Rhinolophus ferrumequinum: one gene and its partner. The protein of the gene in region 1 purifies or fractionates together with the protein of each later gene. This does not show direct contact. Links are inferred from orthologs where the notes say so. Each region holds a gene or a part of one and is shown on either strand. Other genes may lie near its edges.

Region 1 (7,157 bases):
AGAACCTAAAACTCGTCTTTCACTAGCACTTCCAAACACTGACTCCTTTCCACATCATGTTAGTTAAGCTCCTCCAACCGCTGGTTTGATGTTTGTCACCTCTATCTTCCCTAACTCTCAAGCAAAGTGCTGCCTTGAAAGAAGTTGTCCAAGAACCTAGATGACATCTGTCCAGTGCTGCTGCAAGATAGCACAGAAGTAATATTTGAAGAACACTTAACTTTTTCAAAGCAGCTTCATGTACTTTTTTCAACATAAGTTATTATGATAGAAGTATTGGCTTTCTCGTTCTCTAAACAGAGACTCATAAAAGCATTCAAAGCCTTGGATTTAAAGTCCAGCTCCTCTATAGTATATACTTGCTGTGTGATCTTGGTCAACTTATGTACTCTGAGTTCAGTACCCATGGGGAAAATAATATCTACCTTAAAGGACTATTATGAGTATTAAATGAGAAACATATGTAAAGAACATGACATAGTAAATGCTCAATAAAGGACAGTGACCTTCCCTACGGTCTCCTTAAATAATTTATACAAGATCATTCAGCTAATAAACTGGTAAGCACAGGACTTAAACCCTGGTCTCCTGATTCCTTAATCTTCTTACCACATCGCTTTGGCAGACTGCCACATACTGCTGAGCACATAAATACATTCTGACAATAACTGATCACAAAATTTTTATCTATCAGTAACTCAGCTTTGTGAAAAAGAGAAAACAATAGATCTAACTAACTTGGGGGAGAAGGGACTTGAAAATACAAAACATAAATTACCGCCAAATCACAGGACAGGTTGTACCATAGCACTTCTGTATAGACAGAAATTATGACAAGAAACAGAAAGTTCTCTTTGGGTTTATGAGGAACAATTGGAGACAGAAACAAGAATGGCTATGACTAAAGGAATTTAAGGGTTATTTATTTGTCTTTTCTTTTCTTTTCTTTTTGTAAACCAAACCCCTGGGCAAAAAGATTGGCTTCCCATTCCAAAATTATCAAGGCTGAGACATACATTTAAAAAGAGACTTAAGTGTGCTAACAACAAAACCTTTTCTCCAATTCCTTTAAGAGTGAGATAAGTGAGATAAATTGTCAACATAAACTGCCAACATTCATGAAGACCCTAGAAGATCATAAATGAATGGATTCAGTATTAATAAACAGCTAAAAGCAGCATGATCAAAAATGTTTCCTAAGTTTCCTAACACACCTTGAAAGTATTTTGAAAATGATACAGTATTAAAGCTAAGTCGTTACTCTGTTAATAGAAATAACTACTTGTTTTCAAGTGATATACATAACTAACCTTTTTCAAGTGATACACATAGCTCCTCCCAGGGCAAGTCCTAGAAGACATTTAAACAAGTTCACATCTTTAACAACCCCTAAGAACTTTCTTATTAAAAGAGAAGACAAAATAATTCAGTCACATTCTGAGTCTGTAAATTCTGAAAGGGAAAGCCAGTATAGTGATCTGACACTGACAGAACACAACATTGACAGAACACCACAGATCTAAAGCATTTTTCTCAGTCTGTTGAGATCTCGCTTCCAGGTGTATATCCTCTGTTTGGCTCAAATACATTTTTATAAACAACAACAACACAAGATTTAACCAAGAAAGGGACAGTTGAGTGCATTTCTACCACAAAGCAGGGAGAAGCTGATAAGAAGCTCGATCCCGGTAACCACCCATCATCACAACCAAATTTCTTGTCCTCAATTCAACTTAACCCTCTGCTATTTCCTATAGAAACATAACAAAATGTTCTCACATTTCTTTGTGACACTCATAGCAAACTCCATTTATTATTCAGCATTCATTAAGAGTCACTGAGATTCTACATTAACTCTGCATTCTATGCAGAACCTAGCAATCCCCAGGGGATGACACCTCCTTCTCTAAATTATTTCCTCTGATATAAATTCTCTTCTACCATAAAAACTTTTTCAGAGAACACACATTCTAAGCATAACTTCCCAATCTAGATTCTCCATAAACATCATCTGGTGGCTCTTCGTTAATCCCTTTCTAGGAGCACTGAAGTTCTGGTAACTAAGAAATCACTCATGATCAAGGGCCTTTCATTTAAATCTTGCTGACCTCACCAAAAAAAAAAATATATATATATATATATATATATATATTTATGAAAATTCTAAAACTGTTAAAGGAACACAGACTTGTACAGTTTCCATCCAAGGATTGGGAATTTAGTCTGTTCTCCCTTAAAACCATTCTCTTACTGATCCTCCATACAACGGAAATACTTCTTCAACCTAGAATGACCTCGCAGCTGATTATTTTTTTCAATAAATAAATTAAGCAAATTTGGATCATGACACTGAATCCAATTAAAATAAAATGAGTAAGAACACTTAGTCCCCAAAGTTTCCAAGTTTGGAGACAAAAGGAAAACATAACGGAGTTCCCAGGATGTTAACTTTCAATTTAAAAATCTCAATATTTGAATGATTTCTACTCTAGTACTATATGCAGTAACTCTAGTATATGCAGTAACTAAACCACTAATCAAAAACAATAAAACTGTTCAGAAAAAAGGCTCTTTGGGTTTCCTTTGGATTGTTCCTAGAAAGCAAACTCTCTCAGGACAAATGTCTGACTTCAAAATGCTGACCATCCTCTGCTGGACATTAACCTCTTAACATCTTTTTCTTAGTTGAAAGATGTCCACTGAGAAACAGGCTGAAAGGAAGGAGAAGAAATAAACATCAACCAGAAAGCAAACTGGACAGCAAACAAAATTTTCTATCAAGAAACAGAAAGAAATTGTCATTGCTCCTCTCGCGAAAACAATCCAGACTTTGGAAAGCAAAACAGCCAAAAGATCGCATGGCCCCTTTACTTCTGAAGCCTCCAGTGACAAAATCTATATTCCTAGGGAGGCAGGATCACAGACAATTAAACGAGAAATCACTATGTGCAAAAAGTGACTGGTAAAATGGGGGGGAGGGGTAGTGAACTCGTAAATGCAAGAAATGATCTGTCGGGGATATGGGGAAAGTCACGTCCCAGACTTCAGCCTCAGTTTCCCTACCCAAAAAAGGCAAGACCATGACACTTCGCTCAGAGAAGCCAGAGGGCCTGGTTCCATTTGCCTCCACCTACTCAAGGGTCCCTTCAAAGGCCGATCTCAGAGGAGGAGTCCTCAGTGCCAGAGTCCTGACAGGGAGCCTTGAGGGAGAGGAGAAAGGGAGGAGGGTCAGTGCGCACCAAGCTCTATCCGTTCCTGGAAAGCGATCTTCCCCCACACTGGGGGTGCCAACACCCGCCTGAGACCCCAAATCCCCTCCCTACCGCACCACACCGGACAGCCTCAGCACCTCTCCCTCCTTCCGGCTTCTCCCTCAGTTCCCCGCCGCCTCTCCGACCGCGCCCCCGAACGCTGCCGGGTAGCTCCTCCTCTGGCCGCGTCTCCGCAGCCGACCCGCCCGCCCACCCGCCGGCGCCAAGGTCTTCTCAACCCCGCGGCGGAAGGATGCCGGGCCGGGCCTCCCAGGCTCCTCCCGGGCCTACCTGAAAGGCGGGCGGGGGCTCGGCTTGCAGCCCAGCGGGTGGCCTGAACCACAGAGAGGAAGAAGATCCAGGAATGAAGCAAGGGTCTGCTCTACAGACCAGCGGGAGAAAGCAGCCCGAGCGCAGGGCCTCGCGGATAAGTCAGCTTTCGACCCGGCGCCGCCGCCGTCGCCGCCACCGCCGCCGCCGCTCAGGAGACATCAAGCGAGAAGACGGCGCAAGAGATCACCGAATACACGAACGTCCCAGACATCAAAGAAGGAGTGCCCGCGCAATCGTTCAAGGAAGTGCAGTCGAACGCCGAAAAACATATCCGCTCCAACTCAAGGTCCGGCTCCTGTCCAAGACATAAATAAACAAACCCAGATCAAAAGCCATGGAGTAAAGAAGCCTGTGTTTCTGCCATTTTCTGTGTCGGTTGCCGGCCAAGTTGTTTAGAGAATTGGAGTTTTTCTTGAGAGTGTCGAACAGCAAGTCTTAGCACAGTAACACTTAACACAGTTCACCGAGTACCTTATGGATTCCCAACACTATCCCAATTGAACAAATTTGATTATATCACACATAATGAAAAATCTATTAAAGCTCCAATTTAGGTCCTGTAAGCATAGCTAAGAGAAGCTGGGAAAAGTAGGGGTTGTGTAGTCTGACCTAAAGCAGAAAAAAAGTAACACACGTACTGTTTTTTTATTTTCTTTCAAAGGCCTAGAACCATAGATATGCTTCTTAAATAATGATCAAAAGTCTCTGGGTTCAGAAACTGACAAAGTGTGTTGACATGTTCATCGTCACAATAGCCTCTTTCTGAGGTCTCTTAGTAGACAAACTAATATACTCAGCACAAATGTGGATTAACATGTACATCCTAGGTACAATTCAATAAATCACATAGATCACTACAAATATGAATTACTAAATGTGAGCAATAATAATTCATCTTCTCTTAAGAGGCTTGGAAAGTAAAGGTATAAAAAGCAGCCAGTCCCAGCCCTGAAAGAGTGTATAATCTAATCAAAGTGAAAGACCACATCCTTACAACATTAGCTTTATTTGAAATTTATTGTAATTTTAAAAAATCTCCTCCTTGGGGCTGCCGGTTAGTTCAGTTGGTTAGAACGCTGTGCTCTTAACAAGTTTGCCGGTTGGATCCCCACATGGGCCTGTGCCCCTTGTGATCCCCACACTGTGGGCTGCGCCCTCCACAACTAGATTAAAACTACTTGACTTGGAGCTGATGGGTCCTGGAAAAACACACTTAAATAAATAAAAGTTGTTTGGTGTTTTTTTTTTACATCTCCTCCTTTAAGTCTGTGAAAATATTTAAGGGACAACTCATATGTATAACGCAGGATGAGACCAGCATCCATAATATGAGGACAAAACACTGGGCTTTTGTTGTCTACCACTGTTTTAGGGGACTTTTAAAATGAGTGAACGTTGCAGCAATATTTATGAAAGTCTAAAGAAAGAATTCAGTAATCTGCTTCCAAAGAAAAACAAAAGGAAAAATAAAAAAGAGAAAAAAGTAAAAAATAATCTGCCTCCAAAGTTTTAATTTGTTCATATTCCCTTGGAAATACCCTACACAATTTATTTAAGCTTAATTTCAGCAGAGATACAATAGTGTTATTGTTTTTCATTATATTATTTCCCTATTAAAGTCTTTAATTGTTGTTATTTTTAACAATTGCATAATATTCCATGGAGTGGATATACTGACCATGCTCCCCATTATTGAATATGTATGTTGTTGGGGGTGGCTGATTAGCTCAGTTGGTTAGAGCGTGGTGCTAATAAAACCAAGGTTGCTGGTTCGGTTCCTGCATGGGCCACTGTAAACTGTGCACTCCTCGAAAAAATAAATAAAAATTAAATTTATTTTAAAAAGAACATGTATGTTGTTTCCAAACATTTCTGCTCTTGGAAAGGGGCAGTTATAACCTTATTATTTATTATTAGGTCCTACTGCACATAAACAAAAAGAAGGAAGCAAAGCAGAGGTTTATTTCTCTGTCATACAAAAGAAATCCAGAGATGTACAGCCTAGGGTAAGGTGTTCAGTATCAGGAACCAGGCTTCTTCTATCATGTTGCTTTGACATCTTCAGTAAGTAGCTTTCATCTCAGGTCCAAGACAGCTGCTCAAGCTCTAGCCATCATGTCAACATTCCAATCCGAAAGAGGAATCTGAAAGAGGAAAGGCATGTCTCCTAGCCATAAGGACATATCTTGAAAATAGCACAGGACATTTCCACTTACATTCATTCTGCTGGCCATAATTTAGTCATACAGCAACACCTAACTGGGAATTAGTCTTCATCCTGGGCAGCCACGTACCCACCAAAAGTCAGGGTCAAATGGATGCTAGGTCACAATTAAATAAGTAGTCTCTGACACATTGCTGCAGCCAGATGAGACAAATAGACTTTCCCTTGCTGTCATCTCAGGGCTGAGTTTCTACCTCTACAATACGTGCTTTAGAGAAGCTTCCTTCTTGGAGAGGCTTGTGAGACATAAATGTCTAGAACTACAGCCCTCATTCAAACTCGACCCAAATAACGGTATTTTGAATCCTTGATTTCAGTGAGAAAAGCTAAAGAAACTAATTTTAAAGCTACAAGAAATTTTCAGTTTTTCAAAAGCTGGAGATTTCATTTTGGGAAAAACACCTGAAAGTTATGCAAATGTAAATCTTAAATCATCATCTGAAAATGGAGATTTTGGAGAAGCTCAGGCGAGGCTTCTCGTTGAACTCATAAAAAAGATGCCTTATCCTGCAGGCAGAGTTGCATCTCTACAGATAAATTTCTCTTTTTTTCCCTTTGTTTTATTCCTTTTTTTCTTTTTTGGTTTTCTTCACAGATAAATTTTTTTAGAAGACTGTTTCAAGTGTAGCTTTAAGCTTCAATGTGACAATACACTGCTGTTTGTTTTTATGGCGTTTATTTCGACAGAGACTAGATCACAAGATATCAGTTGAAACCCTCAAAACTATGGAATCTCCTCACACTGGAGGAAGACCTGAAAAGAGGGAACCAGGTGAGCAGAAGAAAAGATCATCCTAGGATACACCACTGATGCCTACATATTGGTGTTAAGACTCAATAATTTATTATGTTGATTGTTGTATTCTCAGAGGATTCTCCTGGGGAACCATCACCTTGAAGACGGTATTTTCCCTAAAGTAGGTTGGTTGACCAACTGTCCCAATTTGCTGAGGACGTAGGGGTTTACCACGACACAGGAATTTCAGTGCTGAAACTGTGAAAGCTTTGGGAAAACTGGGATAGTTAGTTATTTTAAGAATGGACCCAGCCACTGTAAATCACGTGGAAAGAATTTGGAAAGACTAAATCAGGAAAAGAGGATTGGTACATATTGAACTGGGTACATTGCCTGGGATGAGGGGTGAAGGGAGGAGAAAGAGGAGATTGTTCCTTATCTTGGATCTGGGCTCTGAGAAACAAATCAGGCCTGAACTTAGGATGAGATAACTCTGTAGAAGTACCAGGAGTCCTCTGTAAGGAAGTCCAAGAAGAGGAGTCAGACTTTGAGCAGCCAAAATGAGCCAGTTGTAGGTTTTGCTGTTCCAATTCTATTCTGTCCTTTTGTAGCC
Region 2 (6,953 bases), on another chromosome or scaffold:
TGGTGGAATGGTCCGGAAATCCTTGAGCTCTGGAAAGGTCCCTGGTCAGTCCTTGGGGAACGGAGGTGGCTACATCGGAAGAACCTGCTCAAGTTTGGTTCTTGACGTCTGGGGAATCCTTTCGGGAAAGATCACTTCAAATTCAATAATGAGGTCCCCACGTTTCTCGGGTGTTTTGGGGAGGGGGAGGCCTTCTCCAGGAACTTTTCGCCGCATGCCTGGCCTGATGACATCTTTGAACACGACGGGTATGGTTTTGCCTTCCAGAGTGGGGACGTTCACAGTACAGCCACACAGAGCCTTCGAAAGCAAAGTGACAGTGTTAGATGGAGATTACCTTAGGAAGCTCCACTCCTGCCCAGAAACTATCTGGGTAGAGTAAGAGCCATCAGACCTCTGTAGCTAGGCCCTGCCCTCCAGATCTACCCAGGTCATCAGCATGAAAGCTCCTGAAAAACAGAGTCCTGGCCAGCCTTGCTCCTGCCGCACCCCCAAGTCTGGAGGCACCAAACACTCAGAAATAGCTGTTAAACAAATACCGGGGCAGCTGGATGGCTCAGTTAGAGCATGAGCTCTTAGCAACAGGGTTGCCGGTTCAATTCCCACATGGGCCAGTGAGCTATGCCCTCCACAACTACATTAAAGACAAGGAACTGCCGCTGGGCAACCGGATGGCTCAGTTTGTTAGAGCGCAAGCTCTTAACAAGGTTGCCGGTTCAATTCCCACATGGAATTGAAGGAGGGCCCTGCCGTGTGCTGTGCCCCCCCCACCCCCAACTAGAATGAAAACTGCGACTGGACTTGGAGCTGAGCTGCGCCCTCCACAACTAGACTAAAGGACAACAACTTGGCTTGGAGCTCATGGGTCCTGCAGAAAACACTGTTACCCAAAAAAAAAAAAAATTAAGAGAGATATGAAAAAAAAACCCCAAACTGCTGCAAAAAGCGCTATCTGCTATCTCCCTCCACAGACACTGCCCCACCTAGTGCCTTACCTCCCGCAGGGTGACCCTGGCTGGGTAAATGACATCAGAGCCATCTCTCTTAAAGATATTGTGTGGCTTGTCCTTTAAAACAAAGACGATGTCGGCTGGAATGTTGTTGGAAGTCTGGTCTCCCTCCTTGGGGAAGGTGATTTTGGTCCCTTCTTTCCACCCCCGTTTCACTTCGATGGTCAGGATTTTGTCTTCATTGCGAATGCTCTTCCCATCGGGGTTCAAACGTTTATGGGAGATCTTCATCTTCTTGGTACAGCCGCTATAGATCTCTTCGAGAGAAACCCTAAGGTCATGGGTGACAGGGGGGTCTTGCTTTTTTCGGGTGTGCTCTTGGGCAGGGCGAGACCGTCCAAAGCTCAGGTTGGGGAAGCCACCCATGCCCATAGGGAAGCCAGAGAATGAGTCATCAATGTCCATGCCTTCCTCCCCGTTCCGCTGCCCAAAAAAGTTGTCAAATGGATTTCGGCCGAAGAACTCAGCAAACATGGCATGAGGGTCTCCATGGAATGTGTAGCTGAAAGAGGTACCATTAGCACCACCGCTGCTCCCACCACTGGGACCACCGCCCTTTAGGCCTGAAAGACAAAATCCCAAGAAGTCAGAGGACTGGCCAAAAGCTTTCCTTAAGGGAAAAGTGCTTGGGGGTCACTGGAAGAGAAATTTTTTTAGCCTCTCAGTAAAGAACAAGGAAGAACCTGAGCTTTTACCTCCCACAGTAGCAGCAGAGACAGATTCCCTATCCAAGTACTTCAGTATGGCAAAGCAGAGGTGAGGGAGCTCAAGCTCTGACATGACTTTTTTTAGGGCCCACCCACATCCTGCCACTTCTTCACTGACCTACCCTCCCGACAATAATACAAAGACTTAACAAAGAATTCACTGAGATCAGATGAAAAACGCACATCCAGGGCCAGCTTTCAGCTTTCTAATTCTCACACCCTGGCACCGCTGCCATTATCCTTATGTGAAAAGTCACTTCATTTGTTAACACCAAGCCCAAAAGCCAGCGTGAGTCATCCACGGGCAATTGGACAAAAAGGAAAGCTCCTTTTTTCTTTCCTGAGGAGAGCTACCCTACGAGGCTGGGCAGAGTGGGTCCCCTCCACTCCCTGCACCTGGACGGCCACTGTGGGCGCTGGCAGCCATTTGCTTCCCCGGCGCGGGGCTGGGTAAGCACTTTACAGGAATTAGCTCACTCTGCCCTCCAGGGGCCCACGAGGGAGATAAGGGACAACTGGCGGTCCCCTTTGCAGTCTCACTGGACGCAGGTGGTGGCCGGCTATCAGCCAAAGGCCTCGTCCTGCACCCCTGCGTGGCGGGGCCCCGCACCTCTCCCAGGTGAGCTGGGGCCAGGGGTACGCAGCGCCACTAGCTGAAGAAGCCTCCGTTCCCTTCTCCATCCGCACCCGGGGGCGATCGGGGACGTGGGCGGAAGCATCCAGGGAGGGGCAGCCTCTGACATGCTAGAAGCTTCTGCGCCAGCGGCACGGCCAGAGCTCCACCTCTCATCCGGCGGCTGCCAATCCGAGGACGGAGGCGCCCATGGCCAGAGGGCGGGGGATGCTCGCCGCCTGGGGCAGCCACCCCCCGCCCCCCCGGGATGCTGCAGCCTTGCCGCCGTGCCTCTGTTTCCCCACCTGTCAAACGGCGGGGGCGCGCCCCCGGCCGCGCGCGCACGCACCTTCTTCCCCGTAGCGGTCAAAGATCTCGCGCTTGCGCGGGTCGCTGAGCACATCGTAGGCCTCGGCGATCTCCTTGAACTTCTCCTCGGCGCCGGGCTCCTTGTTCTTGTCTGGGTGGTAGCGCAGCGCCTGGCGGCGGTAGGCCCGCTTGATCTCCTCGTCTGACGCGCCGCGGGACAGGCCCAACGTCTGGTAATAGTCTTTGCCCATGGCCCACGCCTGCGGTCCGCCGCCCAGCTGTAGCCGTCCCCAAGCTCCGCCGCCGCCGCCGCCCCGTCCCAGACTCTATATACCCGTCCGGCGGAAGCTTCCAGAGCCCGCCAGCCCCCTCCAGAGCCTTCCGCCCCGCCCCCTGCACCGCACCGACCAATCGTCGCCACCCAGCCCGCGACGCTTGACGTTCGTGGAGGGGGCCGCGCCGCCAACGGCTGTCCGCGCGTGGCCACGCCCCTTCCCGCTCGGTCCTCGGCAACGCCTCCCCACGGCGCGCGCACCTCGAAGGCCCTGCCCACCCTGCGCGAGTTGCCAATCGCGACCTGGTTGCACTGTCCGGGATGGCCGGGATGACCCCTGCCGCGCGCTTCGCCCCCTGCGTGGATCAAGAGGTTTCGACGCACTGCTAGGGAAGGGCGGCCCCGCCCCTTCCCCGGAGGAGGTGTACCTACCGGCTCGCATCTCACAGGGTCGGGCCCCGGCCAAGGACTTTGGGCAAGTTGGTGAATGTCTTTCTGTCCCAGATCCCCCTTCTAGGAATAAAAATACCCACCCGCCTTCTTGTCCCTGCAATGGGGAGAGTGCAATTGGGAGTCCTAGGACTATGCCTGTTTTCATCAGACAGGTCCCTCTGTAAAGCGAGCTGAGGACTAGGGACCAAAGGTCACTTCCCTGAGAGGTCTTCCCAGTCGCGCTCCTCAGGCCTTTCACTTCACCGTTTTCTTAAGAACACCTGCCAATAAAATCTGAAATTATCTTGTTCCGTGGTTTTCATGCTAAATGTCACCTGCCTCCCAGCCTGTGATTCCCACCTCCAGTGTTTGGCACCCAGTTGCAGTGGACACTTCATAAATATTTCTGGCTGTTTTGAATGCACCTGCTTCTTTTTCTCCATTACCTTTATGATTTGGGGGGACATGGGTGGGTCCTACACCTCTAGGGCCTCTGTTTCCTCTTCTATGGGGCACATGATTCCTTCTGGCTCTGAGAGTCTGAGGTGCCTGTGGTCAAGGACAGGGCTGATTGGGAAAGGAGGCTCAGAAAGGGGTACCACCTGGGAAGGGGGTAAGGAAAGGGGGGGTATAGGCAGTGGTGGCTGCTGAGGAGGGTGGTTCTTGGAGGTACTTCTTGGGAGGTCAGGGCTGTGTGACACTAGTTCTGAAGTCAGACAGCCTGGTTTTGTTCTGGTTCCATCACTTCCTGGCAGTGTGACTTTGGGCTGATTACTGAGCCATTCAGGGCCTCAGCTTCCTCATCTGTACAATGTGGGTAGTGGTTGTACCCACTTCGTAGGCCTTCGAAGTAGATATAAATCAACATTTGTAAAGTGCCTGGGATAGGTCCGGGAAGCACTTTCAGAGGGGTAACTAAACCCTCTTGTTGAATGGGGGGCTGCTGAACTACCCAATTCCTGGCAGAATTCCGGGCAGCAAAAAGTCCAGTGATTGCTGCCCTTGTGTAGGCTGGGACTCCTGAGGAAGACAACCAAGGCCTTCCCTGCAGTCCAGCAGAAGGACTCCGGCCCTCTGTGGCCACTCACTGACCCTGGGGTAACCGTGTCAGTAAGGACTCTAGACTAGGATATACACTGGCCAACCTGGGAGGATGAGTGTGGGATGGGTGTCCACAGGCACAGCATAGCAGGGGTCCTGAACCAGTCATGGAGAAGGGAGAGAGTTTGACTTTTAAAAAGTGACGTACATAGACAGCAGGAGAATCATCATGGAGAAAAACTCAGAGTTTGTGGACTTCGTCACACTTACATGCTACTGTGTTTCCCCACAAATAAGACCTAGCCGGGCAATCAGCTCTAGTGTGTCTTTTGGAGCAAAAATTAATATAAGACCCGGTATTATATTATATTCTACCCAGTCTTATAGTAAAACAAGACCGGGTCTTATATTAATTTTTGCTCCAAAAGACACATTAGAGCTGATTATCTGGTCTTATTTTCAGGGAAACACGGTAGTATTTACTTTACAGGATAAACTTAATTTCGAGTTAACAAATGTGATGGCCTTCAAAGATCTTCACATGGCTCTGGGTGTTGTTGTGTTTGGGGGCAACTTTAGGGCCTCCCCTTTCCTTTAATAAACGTGGCTCATGTTCAGGAAGTTTTCATTGTTTAACCACCCTTCCCCCAAAAAAAAACCCCACAAAAAATTCTCCAACACTTCTTTAGGATTCTTTGACCTGGACACTCACTGGGCACTTTAGAATGTTACTGGAAAAGTGGCTTCCACTTCCAGAAACCTCAGCAGAGCTTCAGCTCTCAACCAGAGAAGATGTGATGGTTAGTTTTATGCATCAACGTGGCTGGGCTATAGTACCTAGTTGTTCAATTAAACAATCAAAGTGTTGCTGTAAAGGTATTTTGTAGATGTGGTTAGGTTAACATCTCCAATCAGTTGACTTTAAGTACAGGGGATGACTCTGGATAATGAGGGTGGGCCTCATCCAATCAGTTGCAAGGCTTTAAAAGCAAATATTGAAAGGCCTTAAAAGCAAATACTGAGGTTTCCCTGAAGAAGCAGCGTCAGCTCCTGACCAAGAGTATGCAGCTTGCTGGTCTGCCCTACAGATTTCAGACTTGCCTCACCAGCCCCTATAACTGTGTAAGCCAATGCCTTGAAATAAATTGCTTAATACACACACACACACACACACACACACACACTCACACACACTCACAAACACATACAGCCTACTGGTTCTATTTCTTTGGTAGACCCCTTGCTGATACAGGAACTAAGCGGGTGAGTCTGGCATCAGTCAGCCTCAGTTGAAATCCTGGACCCACTGTTTACTTATTTATTATCTGTGAGATCTTGCACAACTTGTTCGATCTCTTGGAGCATTAGGTGTGTCCTCCATAAAATGAGGATAAGAGTAGGTCTTATCTCCCAGGGTTGCTATGTGGATGAAATTGAGGGACCAGGAAATGCACATTATAATAACAGTTAACATGAATATGACCCTACTGTGTGTCAAGCCGTCTCCAAGCTCAGTGTGTATTAACACACAATAATCCTAGGAAATTGGCCTAGTGTTACCTCCATTTTACAAGTGGGGAAACTGAAATTCTGAGAGGTCATGTGACTTGCCTGAGGCCACCCAGGGAGTAAAATGCTTTTAAGTGTACAGTGTTTGGCACACTGAGTACTTCTGGTAAGTGCAAGATGTGATTCAGATGATGATAAAACCTTAATTTAAAGAAAAAGCATCACCACTCTTTTCAACTCTTACTATTAAAAAGGCCTTCAAAATCATGACAGCCATATGAGCCAGCAATCCCAATCCTAGTAGAATACCCATGTGAAATGAAAATCCATGTTCACATAAAACCCATGAGCCAATGTTTATCAAGGTTTTATTCGTAATTACTGACAGCCATTAAAACCTAAATGTCTTTCAGTAGGTGAATGGATAAACTAATGTGATCTAGCCACACAATGGAATACTATTCAGCCATAAAAAGGAATAAGTTACGATATAGGAAACAATGAAGACAAACCTCAACTACATTGTTAGTGAAGGAAGCCAGACTCAAAAGACTATATACTGTGTGATGCTGTTTTATAGGACCTTCTGGAAAATGCAAAAGTATTGGACAGAAAGCAGATCAGTGGTTGCCAGGGGCTGGGATCTGCTATAGAGGGATACGGGGGAAATTTTTGAAATGATAGAAATGTTCTCTATCCCCACTGGTGGTGGTTATACCACTGTCTGTATTCAGAACTAGATACTGAAAAAGGTGAATTTTACTGTATGTAAATTATACTTCAATAAAAAACAAAGAGGAAGAACATAGAGGAAAGCTCCTGAGAGATGTCTGTGGCCCGGAAAAGGAATTGGTGCTCATCACTACGGGTAGTTTCCACTGGCTAAAACTCAGTCATATGGCCATATCTAACTGCAAGGGAGGCTGGGAAATGTAGTCTAACTATGTAGTAACTAACTATGTAGTCAGGAAGAGGAGAAAATAGGCTTAGTGATAAACTGGTTGTTTCTTCCATGGTATTGTATGATAATCCATAATGAGAACCTTGAATTCCAGGTG

The links. The genes of interacting proteins can lie anywhere in the genome.
Region 2: the proteins of AMBRA1 (region 1) and DNAJB1 purify together in Homo sapiens (affinity purification with mass spectrometry, with the first as the bait; 3 studies listed by BioGRID). This does not show direct contact. The link is inferred for Rhinolophus ferrumequinum from reciprocal best matches to the Homo sapiens genes AMBRA1 and DNAJB1.

Annotation. Positions count from the first base shown.
Region 1 is NC_046294.1:14,390,951-14,398,107, reverse strand, and holds the start of AMBRA1 (activating molecule in BECN1-regulated autophagy protein 1), read right to left. Parts: upstream 3,086-7,157; 5' UTR 3,083-3,085; coding exon 3,064-3,082; intron 1-3,063. UniProt on the Homo sapiens protein: Substrate-recognition component of a DCX (DDB1-CUL4-X-box) E3 ubiquitin-protein ligase complex involved in cell cycle control and autophagy.
Region 2 is NC_046301.1:47,637,482-47,644,434, reverse strand, and holds the start of DNAJB1 (dnaJ homolog subfamily B member 1), read right to left. Parts: upstream 3,002-6,953; 5' UTR 2,891-3,001; coding exon 2,680-2,890; exon of another isoform or gene 2,636-2,679; intron 1,574-2,635; coding exon 996-1,573; intron 301-995; coding exon 70-300; 3' UTR 1-69. UniProt on the Homo sapiens protein: Interacts with HSP70 and can stimulate its ATPase activity. Stimulates the association between HSC70 and HIP. Negatively regulates heat shock-induced HSF1 transcriptional activity during the attenuation and recovery phase period of the heat shock response.